2 linked regions of the Cricetulus griseus genome follow. The protein of the gene in region 2 purifies or fractionates together with the protein of the main gene of each other region. This does not show direct contact. Links are inferred from orthologs where the notes say so. Each region holds a gene or a part of one and is shown on either strand. Other genes may lie near its edges.

Region 1 (3,480 bases), about 120 Mb from region 2:
TGGACTGGAGAGGTGCCTCGGTGGTTAAGAGAACATTAAGTGCTCTTCCAGAGGACCAGGGTTCAATCTCAGCACCCACATGTCAGCTTATGAGCTGGTACATTTCTGTATCTCCAGTCCTATGGAATCTGATGCTCTCTCCTGACCTTCAAAATAAGCACAAATACAATGAAAAGACATACCTAGAGATAAAACTCCCATATGTGTAAAATAAATGAATTTAACTTAACTTTTAAAAATGTAAAAGGAAAATATTACATTTTCATTTTCAATGCATCCTCATATAACAAGAAAATGATGCCACACTCCCAAGAATTAAAAATAAAATAAAACCACCTAACTCTCCCCTAAATGTGTAAATACTTGAACTCCTAATGAAAGACAAAGGGTAAATTACTGCCTCGATGCCTGCAAGGTCTCAAGGGGGGAGGATGCCAAAACATATTTTTCAAAAAGTGTGCAGAGAAACTGTAGCTATTGAAGTCACCTCCTGTGCTCTTGCCAAATAACTGTAAGGGAATATACTGAGAGTCTGGGAATGGGAAAAGAGGGTGTCATTTATAAGTGCTTCAGGAGGATGCTACCTGGATGTGGACATGGGTGTCTGAATGGTCCGCACACCACATCTCCACATGAGCTCTTGTGTACATTTCTTTCTGCATGTTTCTAGGTATTCCTGTGTTTGTTTTTAGCCACCTTTCTGCATTGGACCAGGAGACAGCTGTCGTCTCCAGCGTGAGTGGGCGCGGGTGTGTCTCGGTGTCTGTGGCTGTGGTGCGGCATAAGTCTGAGCATGTCCACGTCGGCCGAGTGCGTTTGTGCCTGTGTATGCGTGTCCGAGTGTGCTTGTTCAGTCTCTCTTCTCTGTTCCTAAAGGAAAATGCGCTGTGTGCCACCTGCATCCAGAGACCTCAGCCCGCAGAGGTGACCTGCACGGACAGGTAGAAGAACTTCCAGACTGCGCTTGGTTGGTGGATCGTACAGCAGCTCCAGATTTCTGTCTCTGAGGCCCCACTAGGGTAGCTGGGAGGGAGTGGTGGCTTGGCCTCCGGGGAGCACTGGGGCCCCGCCCGGACCAACCCCAGGAGGAGGCGGGCTAGGCAGGGAGGGTTGGCCCTTGGTGCCTCGCCCCTCCGGGCATGCGACCGTACCATTGGCCCAAAGTTGTTGCACGTCACCAAGCAATTCCCCTAAAGTCCGGTGCACATAACGGGCAGGGAGCATTGCGAGACTGCTTCTCCAGCGTTCAGGCTGCAGCTAGCAGGCACCGCGAACCCAGAGCACCCCACGAGCTGAGTGTGCAGAACGCGCCCCCAGCACAGCCACCTACAGCCGCTGAATGAAGCTTCCAGGAGTCCGTCCCCGGCAGGCTGTGCCCCGTCGGAGGTGCACCCGCTGAGAGCGCCAGGGCGCCCAAAGCCAGTGCACTCACCTGCTAGTCTGCCAGCGATGGGGCCACCCGGGAACGACAGTGACTTCTTGCTGACACCCAACGGAAGCCATACGCCGGACCACGACATCACTCAGGAACGGGACGAAGCGTGGGTGGTAGGCATGGCCATCCTCATGTCGGTTATCGTCCTGGCCATCGTGTTTGGCAACGTGCTGGTCATCACAGCCATTGCCAAGTTCGAGAGACTACAGACCGTCACCAACTACTTCATAACCTCCTTGGCGTGTGCTGATCTAGTCATGGGCCTAGCGGTGGTGCCGTTTGGGGCCAGTCACATCCTTATGAAAATGTGGAATTTTGGCAACTTCTGGTGTGAGTTCTGGACTTCCATTGATGTGTTATGCGTCACAGCCAGCATTGAGACCCTGTGTGTGATAGCAGTGGATCGCTACATTGCTATCACATCGCCATTCAAGTACCAGAGCCTGCTGACCAAGAATAAGGCCCGAATGGTCATCCTAATGGTGTGGATTGTATCCGGCCTTACCTCCTTCTTGCCCATCCAGATGCACTGGTACCGTGCCACCCACAAGAAAGCCATCACCTGCTATCTCAAGGAGACTTGCTGTGACTTCTTCACGAACCAGGCCTATGCCATTGCTTCCTCCATTGTGTCTTTCTACGTGCCTCTAGTGGTCATGGTCTTTGTCTATTCCAGGGTCTTCCAGGTGGCCAAAAGGCAACTCCAGAAGATAGACAAATCTGAGGGAAGATTCCATTCCCAAAACCTCAGCCAGGTGGAGCAGGATGGGCGGAGTGGGCACGGACTCCGAAGGTCCTCCAAGTTCTGCTTGAAGGAGCACAAAGCCCTCAAGACTTTAGGCATCATCATGGGCACATTCACCCTCTGCTGGCTGCCCTTCTTCATTGTCAACATCGTGCATGTCATCCAGGAAAACCTCATCCCTAAGGAAGTTTACATCCTCCTTAACTGGTTGGGCTATGTCAATTCTGCTTTCAATCCCCTGATCTACTGTCGGAGTCCAGACTTCAGGATTGCCTTCCAGGAGCTTTTATGCCTCCGCAGGTCTTCTGCGAAAGCCTATGGGAATGGCTACTCCACCAACAGTAATGGCAAAACAGACTACATGGGGGAGGCAAGTGAATGTCAGTTGGGGCAGGAAAAAGAAAGTGAACTGCTGTGTGAGGACACCCCAGGCACGGAAAGCTTTGCGAACTGTCAAGGTACTGTGTCTAGCCTTAGCCTTGATTCCCAAGGGAGGAACTGTAGTACAAATGACTCACCACTGTAATGCAGGCTTTCTGCTTTTTAAGACCCCTCCCTGACAGGACACTAACCAGACTATTTAACTTGAGTGTAATAACTTTAGAATAAAATTGTATAGAGATTTGCAGAAGGGGAACATCCTTCTGCCCTTTTTTATTTTATTTTTTTAAGCTGCAAAAACAAGAGAGGGGGAGAAGCTGTATTTGAGTGCTTATTTGTTTCTTGTGCAGTTCAGTTCCTCTTTGCACGGAACTTAAAAGTTTCTGTCTGAAGCGTGTTGGTCCTAGAGGACTGTCTGTACGTTTAGATGATTTTTCCATGCATCTACCTCATTGGTCAAGTGTTAGGGTATACTATTATTGCTGCTAGTAATTTGTATCAGAAGGAAGTTTTCCTTCCTGTACCCTTGGACTTGACAATCCTGTGTCTTGGACCTTTCTGCTGTGAATATATACTCTCCCCCGCTCCACTTATTTGCTCAAATGGAGTGTTGTAGGCAGTGATCTGAGGGACAGCTTCAGCTGTTTTTTTCTGAGCAAAGTCTAAAGTTTACAGTAAATAAATTGTTTGACCATGATTTCATTGCACCTGTTTCTCCAAAACCTCTTGACTCTGGAGTGTCCTTGTCTTTCCCACTGGAAACCACAGGTAACTATGTGTCATAACTGCTGTGTGTCTTGATGTGGAAGGGTACCAGAATGGTATGCATTGATTGCCTAGCCCTCCCATGTGCCTTTGGATTTCCAAATGCAAACCTGTGTCTTTCCTAATTTTACTTGTGCCCCAAATCAGTTCTGCC
Region 2 (4,231 bases):
TCTATTGAATTCCATTAAAAATACCTATTTTAAAATAAGGTAGAACTAGAGCACACAATCGAATGAATAATATGCTCCTATTTTTCACACAGTGCTAGCTAGGTACATTTAAAAGTTACACTTCACACATATGTGATATGAAGTGTCTTTTTTGCAGAACACAGCAATAACAAGGTCCAGTCCCTAAATGACTTTAGTTGACAAACAATATTAATCATTTAGGATGTTGGCTTAAATTTCTTACTTGAACCGGTCACAATCTAAACTTTGTACCACATTGCTTTATACTAGTTAGAGCTAGGTGTCACATGATGGGGATTCATCATTGTCATGGGGAAAAAATTAATTTCTTTTTAATTGCATTTTATTATACTAATTCAAATTTGGCTTCAAAAATGATTTGGTTTAAACAAATGATAACATCTTTAAATTGAATAAAAATGTGTTTTACATTTTATCAAACAACCTTTTTTTTTCTTTTTTCAAAATAAGATGTTGCCATTTTGAATTACAACCAAGTTTAAGACAATTTATGTGGAATTTGGAAAGGGTTTTTTTTTTAAATTAGTTTTCATTATTGTACACAATGGACTAAAAGTCTGCTTTGGAATAGGGTGTTAGGCCTTTAACCTATTTTATTGAATAGAAGTTTATATAAAGACAGAAGTTTGATATTTTTAAAAACTATCTGTTACAGGAACAAAATTGATTCTCTTAGTTACTTTTATAACAAACAATTCTGGCATTTTTATTAGTTCATACATTGATGTTTTTTCTCTTTCTTACAGTCACCCCAAGCAGGCACAAAAGACAAGACACTCTGTTGCTGGTTCTGCGCCTCAGGCCCAATATCCTTAAGTGCCAAAATCGAGAGGAAGGGCTACACCCCAGGTATGGATGCGGTTGGTGCCTACAAAAAGCAGTTTTCTTTATTAAGCATCTTGTATAAACTTGGCATTGTTACCGAATATAAACCCTCAGCATTCCTTACTTCGTAAAGCTGTGTAGGTTGTACAGATGGATCCCTTTTCTTTTCACAAATTATAGTCTCCTTTTTTGTGTAGTCAGGGTGAGTGAGCAGGTCATCTTTATAACAGTGAGTTATCCTTGCTCACTTCCAGGATAGCTTTTCCTCCATGGAGTTAGTTGAGCTTCAGAAGTCTACACCAGATACCAGTGTGTGCCTTTTTGTTTTCTAATAGTGAGTAACTGTTTTCCCTCTACAGGTGAATCAATACAGATATTTGCTGAGATTGAGAACTGCTCTTCCCGAATGGTAGTGCCAAAGGCAGCCATTTACCAAACACAGGCCTTCTATGCCAAAGGGAAAATGAAGGAAGTAAAACAGCTTGTGGCAAACTTACGTGGGGAGTCACTATCATCTGGGAAGACAGAGACATGGAATGGCAAGCTACTAAAAATTCCACCAGTTTCCCCCTCCATCCTTGACTGTAGTATAATCCGTGTGGAGTATTCACTAATGGTAGGTGTTCCTGTAAGAAGTTCTTATCACTTTTTCTTGAATCTGTGGGGTCCTTATTTTGACTTATTGATGCTTGGTAGACTGTAGATGTGTGTACAAAACATTGCATTATTACCTCACATAAACTAGGGCATTGCATATAAAAGAGAAGTTCTCTAGAAACTAAACGGGATCCCAGCTAATATCAAAATTAGGTTGTGTTTTTAAAAAAAATTCTGCTTAAATGCTGACTTCAACATCTGCTTACTGTTTAGGTATATGTGGATATTCCTGGAGCTATGGATTTGTTTCTTAATTTGCCACTTGTCATCGGTACCATTCCTCTTCATCCATTCGGTAGCAGAACCTCAAGTGTGAGCAGTCAGTGTAGCATGAACATGAACTGGCTCGGCCTATCCCTTCCTGAAAGACCTGAAGGTAATTTGATAATACATGTCTAAACTTACTCTATTATTAGTAGTAAGACTTTTTTCTTTTGTTTTTAATATTTTACAACCCTAGTTAAATTTTTATCTTTCTTCAGTTAGCATATGTAACCTTAATATTGTTTTGTTGTTTGTCCTGCTTGTTTTAATCACCAAACAAATAATTATTCTTTTACATGACATTTTTTTAATATCTACTATTCTGTGTATTTTGACATGCATAAGAACATGTTGTTCGAATTGCGTGTATCTTTTTCCTTCAGCACCACCCAGCTATGCAGAAGTAGTAACTGAGGAACAAAGACGAAATAATCTCGCCCCAGGGAATGCTTGCGATGGTTTTGAAAGAGCTCTTCAGGGACCACTGTTTGCATATATCCAGGAGTTTCGGTTCTTGCCTCCACCTCTTTATTCAGAGGTAAGTACCAAGTCAAGGATGAAATGTGCTGGGTCTCCTAGGAAACAGCAGTGCAAGCTTTTAAAAAAGATACAGGCTTTTAAAAGGTAGTCGTTTCTTAGTTAAGCTGATGATAAACATTTAGAACACCAGTTTAAAAGTTAGAATTGTCAGATCTTCTGACTTCATTCAGGAAATAAGGTGATGGCCAAACTTCGGTTGAATCATTAGCATTTTTTAATAAATGAGTTTATTTTAAAGTATCAGTAGAAAACTGGTATTTTGTAAGCATAATTAAATAGCTAGAATTTATATTGATCATAATCCTTTTCCAATCTAATTCTTTCATTTTTAACATTCTTAGTTATAGGAGAAAATAGCATATTTCCAAATAGCTTTTTAAGCCGGCGGTGGTGCACGCCTTTAATCTCAGCACTTGGGAGGCAGAGGCAGCAGGAGTATCTCTTGTTAGTTCGAAGCCAGCCTGGTTTACAGAGCAAGTTCCAGGACAGACAGGGCTACACAGAGAAACCCTGTCTCAAAAAAACCCAACAACAACAAAAAGAAAAAACAGACAGACCAAATAACTTCTTAAACAGCATTGTACACTCCTAGATTATTCTGCACTTTATATTAATGACACCAACACACATGTGAATAAGATGAGTACTTGCATTGGAAAAACTCACAGACTAGTGAGAAAAATTAACTTAGAAGGGAAAACCAGCCAGCGTCAACCTTGTTAGGAAACACCACTCATCTGATGAATCAATTATTGGGTCTTAGAAATCAGAAGGGCTTCTCTGAGAAGCTGAATTTTCAACAATAAGTAGCCCCTATACCTACAGTATAGGTTGGAAGAGCAGCCCAGCTGAAAGACAAGAAGGGGCTGTTTCTCTGTTGTACCTACACAGAGAAACCCGCCCTAGATGTAATTATGTAGAATCATCTTCATTAATTGTAGAGTACTCAGAATCTTTTCTTGCAAATTTTTGATTAGACATTTTTCCTGTCTTAGGATGGTTCATAAAAACACATGACTGAAAACCATTTTCCACAAATTTTATTACTTTTTTTTTTATTCTGACATTTCTTACTGTGTTCTGGCTTAATTTGAATGTTCATAGCTTTCAAGGGGGCATTTGAAAAGAATGATAATTAGAATTCACTTTAATTTGTCCTAAATTCTACACATTTCAAGATGAATATAATATAATTTCAACATTGTACAACCCTAAACTCTGGAATATGATTTAAATAAAAGGTAATTGGCTTTTTTCTTCAAAATGCATTTGGCATAAAAACTTCTGAGGTGATGTGGGTTATCTCATACTTAAAGTGAGCAGGACTTGTCCAGACAGATCTTTGAGTTAACCTTCACAGGACCCTTAGAAATGTTGTTCACAGAACCTAGGGAAGTGATGCAGTGACATTTTAGGACAAGAACAAAAGATACTTTACAAAGGAGTTGAGTGGTTTGATGGTGTACCCTAGTATATAACTGATTTTTAAGAACCCCAATGTTGAGTGAAAATACCCTTCCTAGTAACTTTGGTGAAATTGAACTATTCATGCATAACTATAAATCATATTGGTAACCTAACACCCTTTCATTCAAACATAACATGATCTTCAGATAGAGAGCATTATATTAGGGTGTAATCTGCTAAGCAGTCTTATGTATGCTCTGATAATATTGGTTACCTTTGCAGACTCAAAAGCAGTCATATACCAAATTAACTTTGTACATTTCATCTTGTTTCTACTAGATTGATCCAAACCCTGATCAGTCATCCGAGGACAGACCATCTTGCCCCTCTCGTTGAAGGAACACTTGATTGACTCGAGTTGATATGGGTTTCGAACTGTATCTCTTCCGGCTGAGGACAGAGAAGTATCTTGGAGACACGTTTTTCAGAGGAAGTG

What was found. Proteins that work in one complex are often made in the same cells at the same time.
Region 1: the proteins of Arrdc3 (region 2) and Adrb2 purify together in Homo sapiens (affinity purification with western blotting; 6 studies listed by BioGRID and IntAct, with this or other methods). This does not show direct contact. The link is inferred for Cricetulus griseus from reciprocal best matches to the Homo sapiens genes ARRDC3 and ADRB2.

Annotation. Positions count from the first base shown.
Region 1 is NC_048595.1:176,928,031-176,931,510, forward strand, and holds Adrb2 (beta-2 adrenergic receptor), read left to right. Parts: upstream 1-1,449; coding exon 1,450-2,706; downstream 2,707-3,480. UniProt on the Homo sapiens protein: Beta-adrenergic receptors mediate the catecholamine-induced activation of adenylate cyclase through the action of G proteins. The beta-2-adrenergic receptor binds epinephrine with an approximately 30-fold greater affinity than it does norepinephrine.
Region 2 is NC_048595.1:301,360,750-301,364,980, forward strand, and holds part of Arrdc3 (arrestin domain-containing protein 3), read left to right. Parts: intron 1-788; coding exon 789-891; intron 892-1,226; coding exon 1,227-1,483; intron 1,484-1,737; coding exon 1,738-1,900; intron 1,901-2,133; coding exon of another isoform or gene 2,134-2,171; coding exon 2,172-2,326; intron 2,327-4,074; coding exon 4,075-4,131; 3' UTR 4,132-4,231. UniProt on the Homo sapiens protein: Adapter protein that plays a role in regulating cell-surface expression of adrenergic receptors and probably also other G protein-coupled receptors.